Linked DNA regions of Macaca mulatta. The protein of the gene in region 2 purifies or fractionates together with the protein of the main gene of each other region. This does not show direct contact. Links are inferred from orthologs where the notes say so. Each region holds a gene or a part of one and is shown on either strand. Other genes may lie near its edges.

Evidence for each region. The genes of interacting proteins can lie anywhere in the genome.
Region 1: the proteins of NXF1 (region 2) and NXT2 purify together in Homo sapiens (co-immunoprecipitation; 5 studies listed by BioGRID and IntAct, counting the BioPlex papers as one, with this or other methods). This does not show direct contact. The link is inferred for Macaca mulatta from reciprocal best matches to the Homo sapiens genes NXF1 and NXT2.

Annotation. Positions count from the first base shown.
Region 1 is NC_133426.1:116,309,884-116,315,722, reverse strand, and holds the start of NXT2 (NTF2-related export protein 2), read right to left. Parts: upstream 3,481-5,839; 5' UTR 3,455-3,480; coding exon 3,360-3,454; intron 2,733-3,359; exon of another isoform or gene 2,589-2,732; intron 2,398-2,588; coding exon 2,313-2,397; intron 2,137-2,312; exon of another isoform or gene 2,066-2,136; intron 1,297-2,065; coding exon 1,210-1,296; intron 1-1,209. UniProt on the Homo sapiens protein: Regulator of protein export for NES-containing proteins. Also plays a role in mRNA nuclear export.
Region 2 is NC_133419.1:11,249,965-11,255,507, forward strand, and holds the start of NXF1 (nuclear RNA export factor 1), read left to right. Parts: upstream 1-1,815; 5' UTR 1,816-1,901; coding exon 1,902-1,929; intron 1,930-3,272; coding exon 3,273-3,459; exon of another isoform or gene 3,460-3,490; intron 3,491-3,644; exon of another isoform or gene 3,645-3,679; coding exon 3,680-3,833; intron 3,834-5,543.

The sequences.
Region 1 (5,839 bases), on a different chromosome or scaffold from region 2:
AAAGACTTGGAACCAACCCAAATGCCCATCAATGTTAGACTGGATAAAGAAAATGTGGCACATGTACAGCATGGACTACTATACAGCCATAAAAAAAGGGATGAGTTCATGTCCTTTGCAGGGACATGGATAAAGCTGGAAACCATCATTCTCAGCAAACTAACACAGAGACAGAAAACCAAACACCACATGTTTTCACTCATAAGTGGGAGTTGAACAATGAGAACACATGGACACAGGGAGGGAAGTATCACACACACCCGGGCCTGTCAGGGGGTGGGGGGCTAGGGGAGGGATAGCATTAGGAGAAATACCTAATGTAGATGACGGGTTGATGGGTGCAGCAAACCACCATGGCACCTGTATACCTATGTAACAAATCTGCACGTTCTGCACATGTATCCCAGAACTTAAAGTATATATATATATATATATATATATATATATATATATATATATATAAAATCCCATGTTTAATAAATGGGTTTTATACAAAAAATAGGTTTTTAGAGATAGGGTATTAACTTTTGCAGCTGCAGGATAGAAGTAGTTCTCCAAAGCACAGTTCTATGCTGGTAAGAGACCTAGGCAAGACTCACTTGACTACATACTGACATAATTACTTAAAAGATACGGTGCAGGGATAAGTTGCAATGAAAAAGCTGATGAAATCTCGATCTGCTGAGGACTTAATATTATCCATGCTACATGCATACTTTTTGTGGGTGTAAGCTATACTTCTGAACCATAATCAGAAATTACCTATAAATATATGAAATAAAAGGGGCGAATCAGGAAATATTCCCAGTAATGACCGACCCCTCCATTAGCACTAATACTACCTTAACCATATTGGTTAACTGATGGAACTAAGAAAAGAAACATATTTAAGTGAATATATGCTGGGCCCAATGTTAAGTGCGGTATTTTAATTAATTCATACTTATCAACCTGAAAAGAAAATGAGGTTGAGGGAAAATGACAGCTTGCTCCAGGTTAAAAAACTAGGTAAAGGTAAACCTGGGATATGATTCCAGAGCCCATGTTCCCATGAATGCCATACCAATCCTTCCCTGAGCAATTTGCTTTTAAAGGGTAAGTCCACAGTTACCACTTATGCAAGGCAGATGAAACGCTGGCTCCAGACACGACCTGGTATTTAATAACAAGTAGTAGTCTAAAAACAGTAGTAGAGTCTATAACACTCACCCGTCTTCTTTTATCCATTGTCTCATAGTAAATATTGACAAACTCCTCAGCAGCTCTACATGCCTGATCTACATAAGTTTTAAAATCCTACAAGAAAAATTCCAGAAGTATAGATTACCAACCGTTTCAACCCCTCACAAACACAAAACCACTGACAGAAGCTGATGATTTATTTCAACCACCATGTAGTTCTATATATAGTCCACATTCTTTCATATAAATTCAGACATTTTAAAGGCTGGACTCTAAAGTTTGCAATTTTAAAATTTTTCACTAACTTTAAGTGCATGTCTTTAGGACATAATCTTCTCAATGAATCTGAGTCTTTTTCAGTCTCTACATATAAATTTATAATCTTTTCTTGGCAACTAAGTACTTTAGACTTTCAATATTTTACAAACATTCACGGCAATGAAAATGACACCACCTGACCCTTAGAAAAGGAGAGCGAGCGGCGAAAACTGCCACTGAATAAGCTAGGCAAGTGTTTTCTCTTTTCCAAGTGAGATGTTAGGGCCAAACTCCAAAGTTGTTGAACGGAACACACACACACACACACACACACACCCCCCAATGTAGTTCAACTACTTGAAAAACTGGCAGCTCCACTTAGGAAACTTTCCCACATTACGTGAACTTTCACTGCTGTTTGCATAAGAACCGTGAAACCGAAGAAAGCAACGCTGTTGGCGTTCGTGCCGGAGAATTAAGGAATACCTTCCTTCTCATTCATTTACGGGGCCCAGTCTATTACAGAATTAAGAACAATGAATCGCCAGTTTGTCAGGTAACTGAAAGTGATTTTTAGAGAGGAAGATAATCGAGAAAAAGAGAATGCAAGCCATAAACAACAAACCCCAAACCCCCGCCTCTCGCTATTTCGCAGCTCAGGGTCCTTTCCGGGACCAGAAAGCGACAGCAAAACAGGCGGGGTTGGGGCCGGCAAGGCGGGCAGCAAAACGTGGGCCCCGCCCCGCAGTACAGAGAGCCGGGCCGTGATTCGTCACCTATCCACGTGAGCAGCAACCAGACCGCCCCGGAGTCCCTCCAATCAGCCACTGGAGTCCGGCGCCCAGCAGACCTGCCACAGCCCAAGCACTCACCACAGACATGGCCATCGGGGAGCCTGCAGCAGCGTGTTCCGGCAGTGGCGGCGTCACTACCTCCTCACGTGTCCGGCCCCCACAGCTGCGGAATGATCAATACTTATGAAGAGAGCGAAACCCGCCAAACGCACAGAATTTTCCACCCTCCCATTCTCTCCCGGAAGTAGCTCGGTCCGTCGTTAAAAGCACACCGATGTTCCAACCTTAAGTTCCACCGCCCTTCAGTTCCTGCAGATCCCTCCCATCCGCCTTATCTACTTGTTTGATACTTACTTAGTTTAAAATTTAAAAACCACTTCGCTTTTGTAAACATGATACTCAAAAGGAAAGTCCCTTAGTTTTCTACCGACAAGCCTGGGGACAAGCAAAAATGAAAGTGTTCAATTACAGGGACTTTTTTTGCCCCAGGAGGCGGAGCCAAAGTCCTCTGGAGACCAATTCGAAATGCGAGACCTCCTATTCCGTAGCCTATAGGATAAATGGGCGGAGCTTGGGGAAAGGCGTGCATGAATAGTGAACAATTTAGCATTCTGGAACATTCTGGAAGGATCACCCTCACTGAATTACTATGTTTTGGCAGTATGCCTAAAATTACTGTTTCATTTTAACCTAGCCATATTCAACAGGAAAAGTTCATCTAGTTTCCCCATTCTGGCATTTTACAATGTCTTGCAGACACCAACAAAAATTAAGTTCACAGTGCCATTCACCACCTTTTAAGGGCTATTTATTCTGCAAAGTATTCTAACAATAACTAAAATGTGAAGCGCTGACTGTATGTAAGGTGCTTTTCTAATCAGTTTTACATATATCCACTTATTATAACAATGCTGAGGTAATTGCTATTATTTTATAATCTTCATTTTACAGCTAAGATGGAGTGAATCTGCCTACGGTAACAGACTAGTTGAGATTCAAACTCAAGCAATATAACTATCACGGCAATCTGGCTTTGCTCCCCAACACCCCTTAAAAACCTCTCATCCCAAAGCCGCCAACGACTTCTGATTTAAATGGCAAATTAATTAGATGTTGTAGTTTTACCTTGAGTGGCTGGTGTGTGGTCCCTCATAATAGTGACTTCTTCTTTGGTGTCTTTCTCTGTCTCCCTGAGACCAGTGGCTTCTGCACTTTCTCATACTTTTAACCTTTCTCTTTATCTGGCTCTTTTCCTTTTAAGGTAGTGCTAACGGAAGCTGCTTCTCGGCCACTCCGCTTCCGTTTTCCGCTAACCTAACCTCTGACTGGCGTCACTTCCGGTGCATCCCCCCTTTTAAAGCCTCCCTTCTTCAGGGTGATGTAAATTGCTACCCGTATGCTAATGAATCTTAACAACCTATCCCAAGCCCGCACCGCTTATCTGAGGTCCAGTTACACATATGAATTTTGCTAAACATGAACACGAGTGCACTATAGGCTTCTTAAACTTGTACGTGCAAAATTTAAACTCATTATTTCCTCTGCACTTCCAAACTTTTGTATTCTCCCAGTCGCCTATCTTGAATTCTCGGAATCTTTATTTTTTTGGTTCCCTCTCCTCCTTATCATGATTCATTCAATAAATATTTATCAAGTAGTCACTGTGTGCCAAGGATTGTGCAAGGCTCTGTATATATAGTGGAGAATAAAATGGACATGTTTCGTATTCTTATGAGGCTCAAAGTGTAATGAGAGTGCTAGACAATAAACATAACATCAATGAGTTACAAAGAAATACTGAGTAACTTGCTTAGTTCTGACCATTCCCTATAGCAATCCTTCTACCCTTCTCCCTCTTCCCTTTCTTTTTATTTCTTTTTTTTTTTTTTTTTTTTTTTTTGAGACGGAGTCTGGCTCTGTGGCTCAGGCTGGAGTGCCGTGGCATGAAGTTGGCTCACTGCCAACCTCCGCCGCCTGGGTTCGAGCAATTCTCTTGCCTCAGCCTCCCGAGTAGAGTAGCTGGGACTACAGGCACGAGCCACCAGGTCCGGCTAACTCTTTTCCTTTTTCTCCCTCTCTCTTTTTGGCTCTCTCCCTCCCTTTCTCCCCCACACTTCTCTCACTTTCCCCGTCTCGTTCTCTCCTCCCTCTCTCCCCCCGAACTTCTCTCCCTTTCCCCTTCTCATTCCGCCTCTCATTCTCTCCTCCCACACAAACTTTGATAACTCTATTGCCTATTTTCTTCCAAACTCTCATAATCTTTAAATACCTACCTTGGTCTGATCTGAATTTATTTTCCCAGGCTATTCTCCCAAATTCACCAACACTGGCAAAGTTAACTACTACTGGTTGCCAAGAATGACTGATGTTTACTGCTTTATTGGTGATTGTTTTTCTTGATTGAGAGATTGTGTTTTATATGATTTCATTCAATCCTCAAGACCCCCAGAAAGGCAGACATTATTATCTAGATTTTTTAAAATTTAAACTTAAGTTTAAAGAAGTTAAGTAAATTGGTTAAGATGATACAGCTAGTGGGCCTGGGATTTCCCCCCCAAACTTTCAAATCCCAAAGTCTGCTTTTAGACACTTGGCTATTCATGCATTTACTTATATATTCTTCTTTTGGAAGGTTCCCTCCATTTCTACCTGTCCTTCAGGGACCAATGTAGCAGGACGAGCCGCAGACAAAACTCCTCAGACACCGGATTAAAGAAGGAAGAGGTTTTTTTATTTGGCCGGGAGCATCGGCAGACTCGCGTCTTAAGAGCCGAGCTCCCGGACAGGTGCGATCTTCCCTATGAAGCCTTCCCTTGTTTCATGTCCCCTGAACCCCAACTGTTGTGACCTCTTTAATGGCTGTGAGGGTGGCTATTGGTGTGGAAATAGTGTTGAAAAATATGGGAGGGTTGAAGTACTGGAAAGGCACAGTTGAGTTAGAGGTGGAGGGGGTCCCAGTTTTGCACTGAATTTTTGCACGGAATTTTGTGCTACAAAGTGGAAATTGCTACATTGTGCTACAAAGATAGGAGACTGGGTAAACTGATAATATAGAAACCAATGATGGGCTCTGGTTGTCAGAGCAGTGAATTTAAAGATATGAAAACTATGTTGCGTGGAGGGGGAGGGAAATGGAAACAAAGTGAATAAGACACGGAGCTGCTCTTCACTAGATAACTGCAAATGTATAAAACTTGGGAAGAATGACTAGGAAGGATGTGAAAGGGCTTTTCTGGGAACACAGCACAGCATTTTGATTAAACACATTGCTGTTGGCACTAGTCTGGGCTCGAATCCTAATCATGCTACTGACTAGTTTTGTGACCTTGGAAAATTACCATTCCATGACTCAGATTCCTGATCTGTAAAATGAAAATGATATTAGTACATATTTCACAGCATTGCTTTAGGAATTAAATGAGTCAGTGCCTGTCATATAGTTCTTGCTTGAGGAGCATTATTTTCCTACCCATGGCAGAGGAAATTAGGCAGCCACTTATTTGAGAGTATGAGGTGGGGACAGATTAGATAACGTTTGAGGTACTGAGAGGCATCTATCTGCACAGTTTAGGAGATGGCTGGTGACCCTGGGATAACAGACTGTA
Region 2 (5,543 bases):
TCTAGATTTGGACTCTGTGTGTGAAGTGACTGGAAGGGAACAGAGGCCAGCTGGGGGCCAGTGGGGTAGGTTGTCTCCACTAGGAGACTTTTATAAACCCTCTCCAGCCTCTCCCAAAGGAAACGTTGGCAGCAAAGGGAGATGATGCCTTTCCCCACCTTCCTGTGAGTGAAGAGAGGAAGCAGCCCCAGGGACCAATTTTCCCAATTGACCTCTTTCTTCCTCTTTCACCATGTGGGGCAGGGAACCCTGAGCCCTTCAGCTGCCTGCACAACCCCTGACATTGGCTGCTGGTGACTCTCAATCTGCCAAATGTGCTGCAGCCCGTTTTCTCCCAATTACAGCAAGACTGTCAGCCTCACTAGCCATGTCATCATTTCTGGGTGGGAGCGTCGAAGGGCCTAGGCAGCGAGTGGAGTGAGCCCACTGCCCAGTACCAGAACTGAAAGGGTTGGGCTAATGGCTGTGCCAGGTATCACTGCTGAGGCAGGCTATTTTGGGCTCTGACACACAGCTGCCTCTAGACAGGGGAGAACCAAGTGTTGCAACACTTGATTAGCATGGAAACTTCCTTTCACACAGAAGCAGGATCCCAGAGGGGGTCCCTGATTGGTGGCAGCTTCCAAGACCATCTCAAACAGTGTTTGGACCTGTTTCATCTGTATCCTCCAACTATTTGGCCGTAATTCTTCCTTGAGCTAAGCAAGGCAGAAGCTCTGCCTGCTGCCAGGAGTGGAAGGTGAAGAATTTGTTCCCAACTCCAGTTGAGGCTTTTGATTCCCTCAAAGCACTTCACCAAATCAAAGCCAGTCACAGAGAATGGAGGAAACACCTGCCCAAAATACCCACCGTCCAGAGAGATTAATGTGCTTTGTTCTTCCTGACCAAGACTCGCAACCACATTCTGAGGACGCTCCAGTGCCCCTGTCTCATACATTCCAAAGGAAGCTGAAGCTATAGAGACAACAATCAATCAGGGGCTGATGGTGGTGCTTTTGGGGGTCTAGGAGAGCCCAAGGCCCTGATATTTTAAAATGTCCTCCTCCTCGGCATCTCCAGCAAGTTGCCACTGCTGGTGAGCTTCACTGTCTGCCCCGTTGACACGATGGGTTTCTAACAGGGGACGCCATTGATGGAAGGTCTGTGAAGACAATGCTCGGCAAACCCCTGACAGATGTCGTCTCATTTGACTCAGCAACTCAGGGTGGGGTGGGGGAAATTCACAGAATAGAAATTCATTTATTTCACAAATACATGTTGAATTTTTACTATGTGCCAGGCATAGTACCTGCCGAGTCAAGCCCTCGAGGGAAAAAAAGCCTTTAGTCAACGTTCGAGCTCACATTCTAATTCTCAACTTCGTGATTTGTTAATCCATCTTATAGGCGAAGAAAGCGAGGCATAGACAAGGAGCCGAGCTGACACACTGGCTAGATGCGGGTAGGGGTCTGAGCCATCACTCCCACCCGGAGGCGCGGTCTCCATTCCTCGGAAGCCCTTGGTACGGCCCCGTTCCCCGCTGAGTTCTGGGCTGCAGCGGCAGCACTCTGCTCTAGCACTAACTCAAGCTGCCAGGGCAGCGTCAGCGGACAGATGAAAACATGCGGGGACCTGCTGGCTACCAGCCGGGGTTCCGCAAGCTCAGGTCTTGGGCGGGGCGCGGAGGGTCAGGCCCCGCCCCTCGCACGACGGCCTTAAGTGTGCGCACGCGCAGGGGGTCGCGCTTTCTCCGGGCGGCGACACCGCCTCCAGCCTGGGACGTCAGCGGCGCGCGACGTGCTTTGCTATATAAATGCGGTGGCGCCCGGCGTAGGGACACTTCGGTCCTGAGTGCTTGGGCGTTCGGTCGTTTGCCGGCGTAGCGGCCAGCGCTTGAGCCCGCCCTTGCTCTTCGCTGTGGCATGGCGGACGAGGGGAAGTCGTACAGCGGTCAGTGCTGGTCCTCGGGTCGGGAACCGGCTATCTGGGGCGCGGGTGGGCGGCGCCGGCCTAGGCCTCAGCCTCCGGGGCGTGAGGCCGCCAGGGGCCCGACGTCCGCGGGGAGCGGCGCGCGGGGGGTCGGGGGCACTCGAGGTGGATTACCGAGTTGTTGACTCCTGGATTCCTCCTGGAATCCTGGTGTTGGGGGACCTGCGGCTCGGAGCGGGTGGCTCGGGGGTAGGGGGACGGGATTCCTTTGAACTTTGTGGGTGGTTGATGCCTGTCAGTTCGGTTTGGCGGCCTGACTCTTCCTTTAATGTGAGTTAGTGCCCTACTCATGGGCTGCCCTGGTGCCCTATTTTTTACTGCGTCCAGTCGGTCTTGAACCCTCGGGCCTGGGCTTTGGCTTAATATTCGAGACTTACACATCAACTGGATGTTCCAGTCTGAACACTACACTGGGTGTTAGTTCTTTGTAGTAGTTAGGAGTGCATGGTGGAGGTTGAAACCGTGAATTTAAAACTCTCCTCTTCCACCCCTTTAAAGTGGAATAACAACAGTATTTCTTAAGAGTTGGGGGGGAAGTAGGGGGGAAAATGAGATCATTCCTATCAAGTGCCTGAAGCATAGTGGCCGGTACTGGAGAACAGTTCTCAATGAATGTTAGCTGCGCCTTCTGTGTTCTTTTTTCCTAGGGTCATTTGTTGAGATTCATTGTTTACAGAGTGCTCGGTATTAGGCAGATCTCTTTTGGGAGTTAGGGACCCTTTTTAAGACGCTAGTCCTGCACAGCATGAATCAGATCATATTCCTGGAGAGCATTCCAGGGTCCCTGGTTAAGCACCCTAGCCTGGCACTACCACTAGAGCCTGAGTCTAGAAATTGTCTCCTGAGTTAAAGGGCATTTCTGGCCAAGGAATCGAAGAGCTCCTCAGAAAACTTCAAAGTGGCAATTTGAGAACAAGGAGAATTTTTAGAGGATCCTTAAACTGATCATATTTGTAACTGGCATCTGTACTGTATAGACAAAGTATTGAGTGGCAGATTTCAGGTGGCTTTCAGAGGTCTGATTTGTGTTCACTTACACTTTGGGGTCTCACATTTATACATTCTGCTTCTAATTCCAGTTTCTACTTCATTTTTCAAAAGCCCTGCACAGATTTCCAATAACTTTTCCTTGATGCTGACCTCCCACAGAGAGAGTTCTTTCCTGTGGACAGGCAGCGGAGTTTGCATGGAGATGGCCTGTGTAGTTAGTATGTATCTCTTCCAGTAGTTCAGAGTAGAAACTATGATTGCCACACCAAGCCGGACCAGTTACTTCTAATTTGTGTTCCTGTTTCTAACTCCAGAACACGATGATGAACGCGTTAATTTCCCTCAAAGAAAGAAAAAAGGCCGGGGTCCCTTCCGGTGGAAATATGGTGAAGGAAACCGTAGGTCTGGAAGAGGCGGTTCTGGTATTCGGTCTTCCCGCCTGGAGGAAGATGATGGAGATGTGGCAATGAGTGATGCCCAGGATGGTCCCCGAGTACGATAGTAAGTGACCAGTTGGTCTGGTTTGAATTTAGTGGCTCATGAGATTATATGGCCCTTTTACTGTCCATGTCATTTTCCTTCCCACCTGTTATAGTGAGAAATGCCAGGACTAGCTTAGCGATTGAACAGTCTTAGTTTAGTCCCGCCAACACAGTGCAGGAAGGTCTTTGAGAAGACTTTCCTAGCATTTGTGGTCATTTTATCCTCTGTTTACCCACAGCAACCCCTATACCACCCGACCTAACCGTCGGGGTGATACTTGGCATGATCGAGATCGCATTCATGTTACTGTGCGGAGAGACAGAGCTCCTCCAGAGAGAGGAGGGGCTGGCACCAGCCAGGATGGGACCTCAAAGAACTGGTTCAAGATTACAGTGAGTACTTTGAGCAAGTAGATGGTACAGTAGAGATCGGAGGCCACGCTCAGAGTAGAGATGTTTAATTTTATTCCACAAAAATTATTCTTTTTTTTTTTTTCGAGACGGAGTCTCGCTCTGTCGCCTAGGCTGGAATGCAGTGGCCGGATCTCAGCTCACTGCAAGCTCCGCCTCCGGGGTTCACGCCATTCTCCTGCCTCAGCCTCCCGAGTAGCTGGGACTACAGGCACCTGCCACCACGCCCGGCTAGTTTTTTTATTTTTTAGTAGAGACGGGGTTTCACCGGGTTAGCCAGGATGGTCTGGATCTCCTGACCTCGTGATCCGCCCGTCTCGGCCTCCCAAAGTGCTGGGATTACAGGCTTGAGCCACCGCGCCCGGCCTTTTTTTTTTTTTTTTTTTAATGGAATCTTGCTCTGTCATCCAGGCTGGAGTGCGGTGGCGTGATCTCGGCTCACTGCATCCTCCGCCTCCTGGGTTCAAGCGATTCTTCTGCCTCAGCCTCCTGAGTAGCTGGGACTACAGACACCCACCACCACGCCCAGCTAATTTTTATATTTTTAGTAGAGACAAGGTTTCACTGTATTGGCCAAGCTGGTCTTGAACTGCTGACTTCGTGATCCGCCCGCCTTGGCCTCCCAAAGTGCTGGGATTATAGGCATGAGCCAGCGCGCCCAGCCCAAAAATTATTCTTGTTAGCTGATTACGCCATAGTCAAGTATCTGTCTCTTCTCCTAGGAATCAGTATCTTCCAACACCTTAGAGCAGGTTCAGAGAAGGGGTGGAAGAGAAATACGAAAACTGTGGTTGTGGAAGGAGTAATTCCTCTGGATGTCTTCATTTGGCTCAGGCTGAGTATGGGGCTTGGAGTCCATGAAGTTCTCTGAGGGACAGGCAAGGTGTAAATAATATCTTGAAACTTTTAGAATAAAAAAAATTGATTTTTTTTTTTTTTTTTTTGAGACGGAGTCTCGCTCTGTCGCCCAGGCTGGAGTGCAGTGGCGCAATCTCGGCTCACTGCAAGCTCCGCCTCCCGGGTTCACGCCATTCTCTGGCCTCAGCCTCCTGAGTAGCTGGGACTACAGGCGCCCGCCACTGCGCCCGGCTAATTTTTTCTATTTTTAGTAGAGACAGGGTTTCACCATGGTCTCAATCTGCTGACCTTGTGATCCGCCCGCCTCGGCCTTCCAAAGTGCTGGGATTACAGGCGTGAGCCACCGCGCCCGGCCGATTTTTTTTTTTGGAGGGATTATAAGCGTAAGTGGGCTGGGTACAGTGGCGCATGCCTGTAATGCCAGCAGTTTGAGAGGCCGAGGTGGAGGATCACTTGAGGCTGGGAGTTCAAGACCAGTCTGGGAAATACAGCAAGACCCCTTCTCTACAGGAAATTTTAAAATTAGCCAGACATGGTGGTGCATGCCTGTAGTCCTGGCTACTCCAGAAGACTGAGACAGGAGGATCGCTTGAGCCCAAGAGATGAAGGCTGCAGTGAGTTATGATCGCACCACTGCACTCTAGCCTGAGTGACAGAGTGAGGCCCTATTACTAAGAAAATATAGCAAGTGTTGGCCAGGTGTGGTGGCTCATGCCTGTAATCCCAGCACTTTGGGAGGCCGAGGCAGGTGGATCACCTGAGGTCAGGAGTTCAAGACCAGTCTGACCAACGTGGTGAAACCCCATCTCTACTAAAAATACAAATAATTAGTCA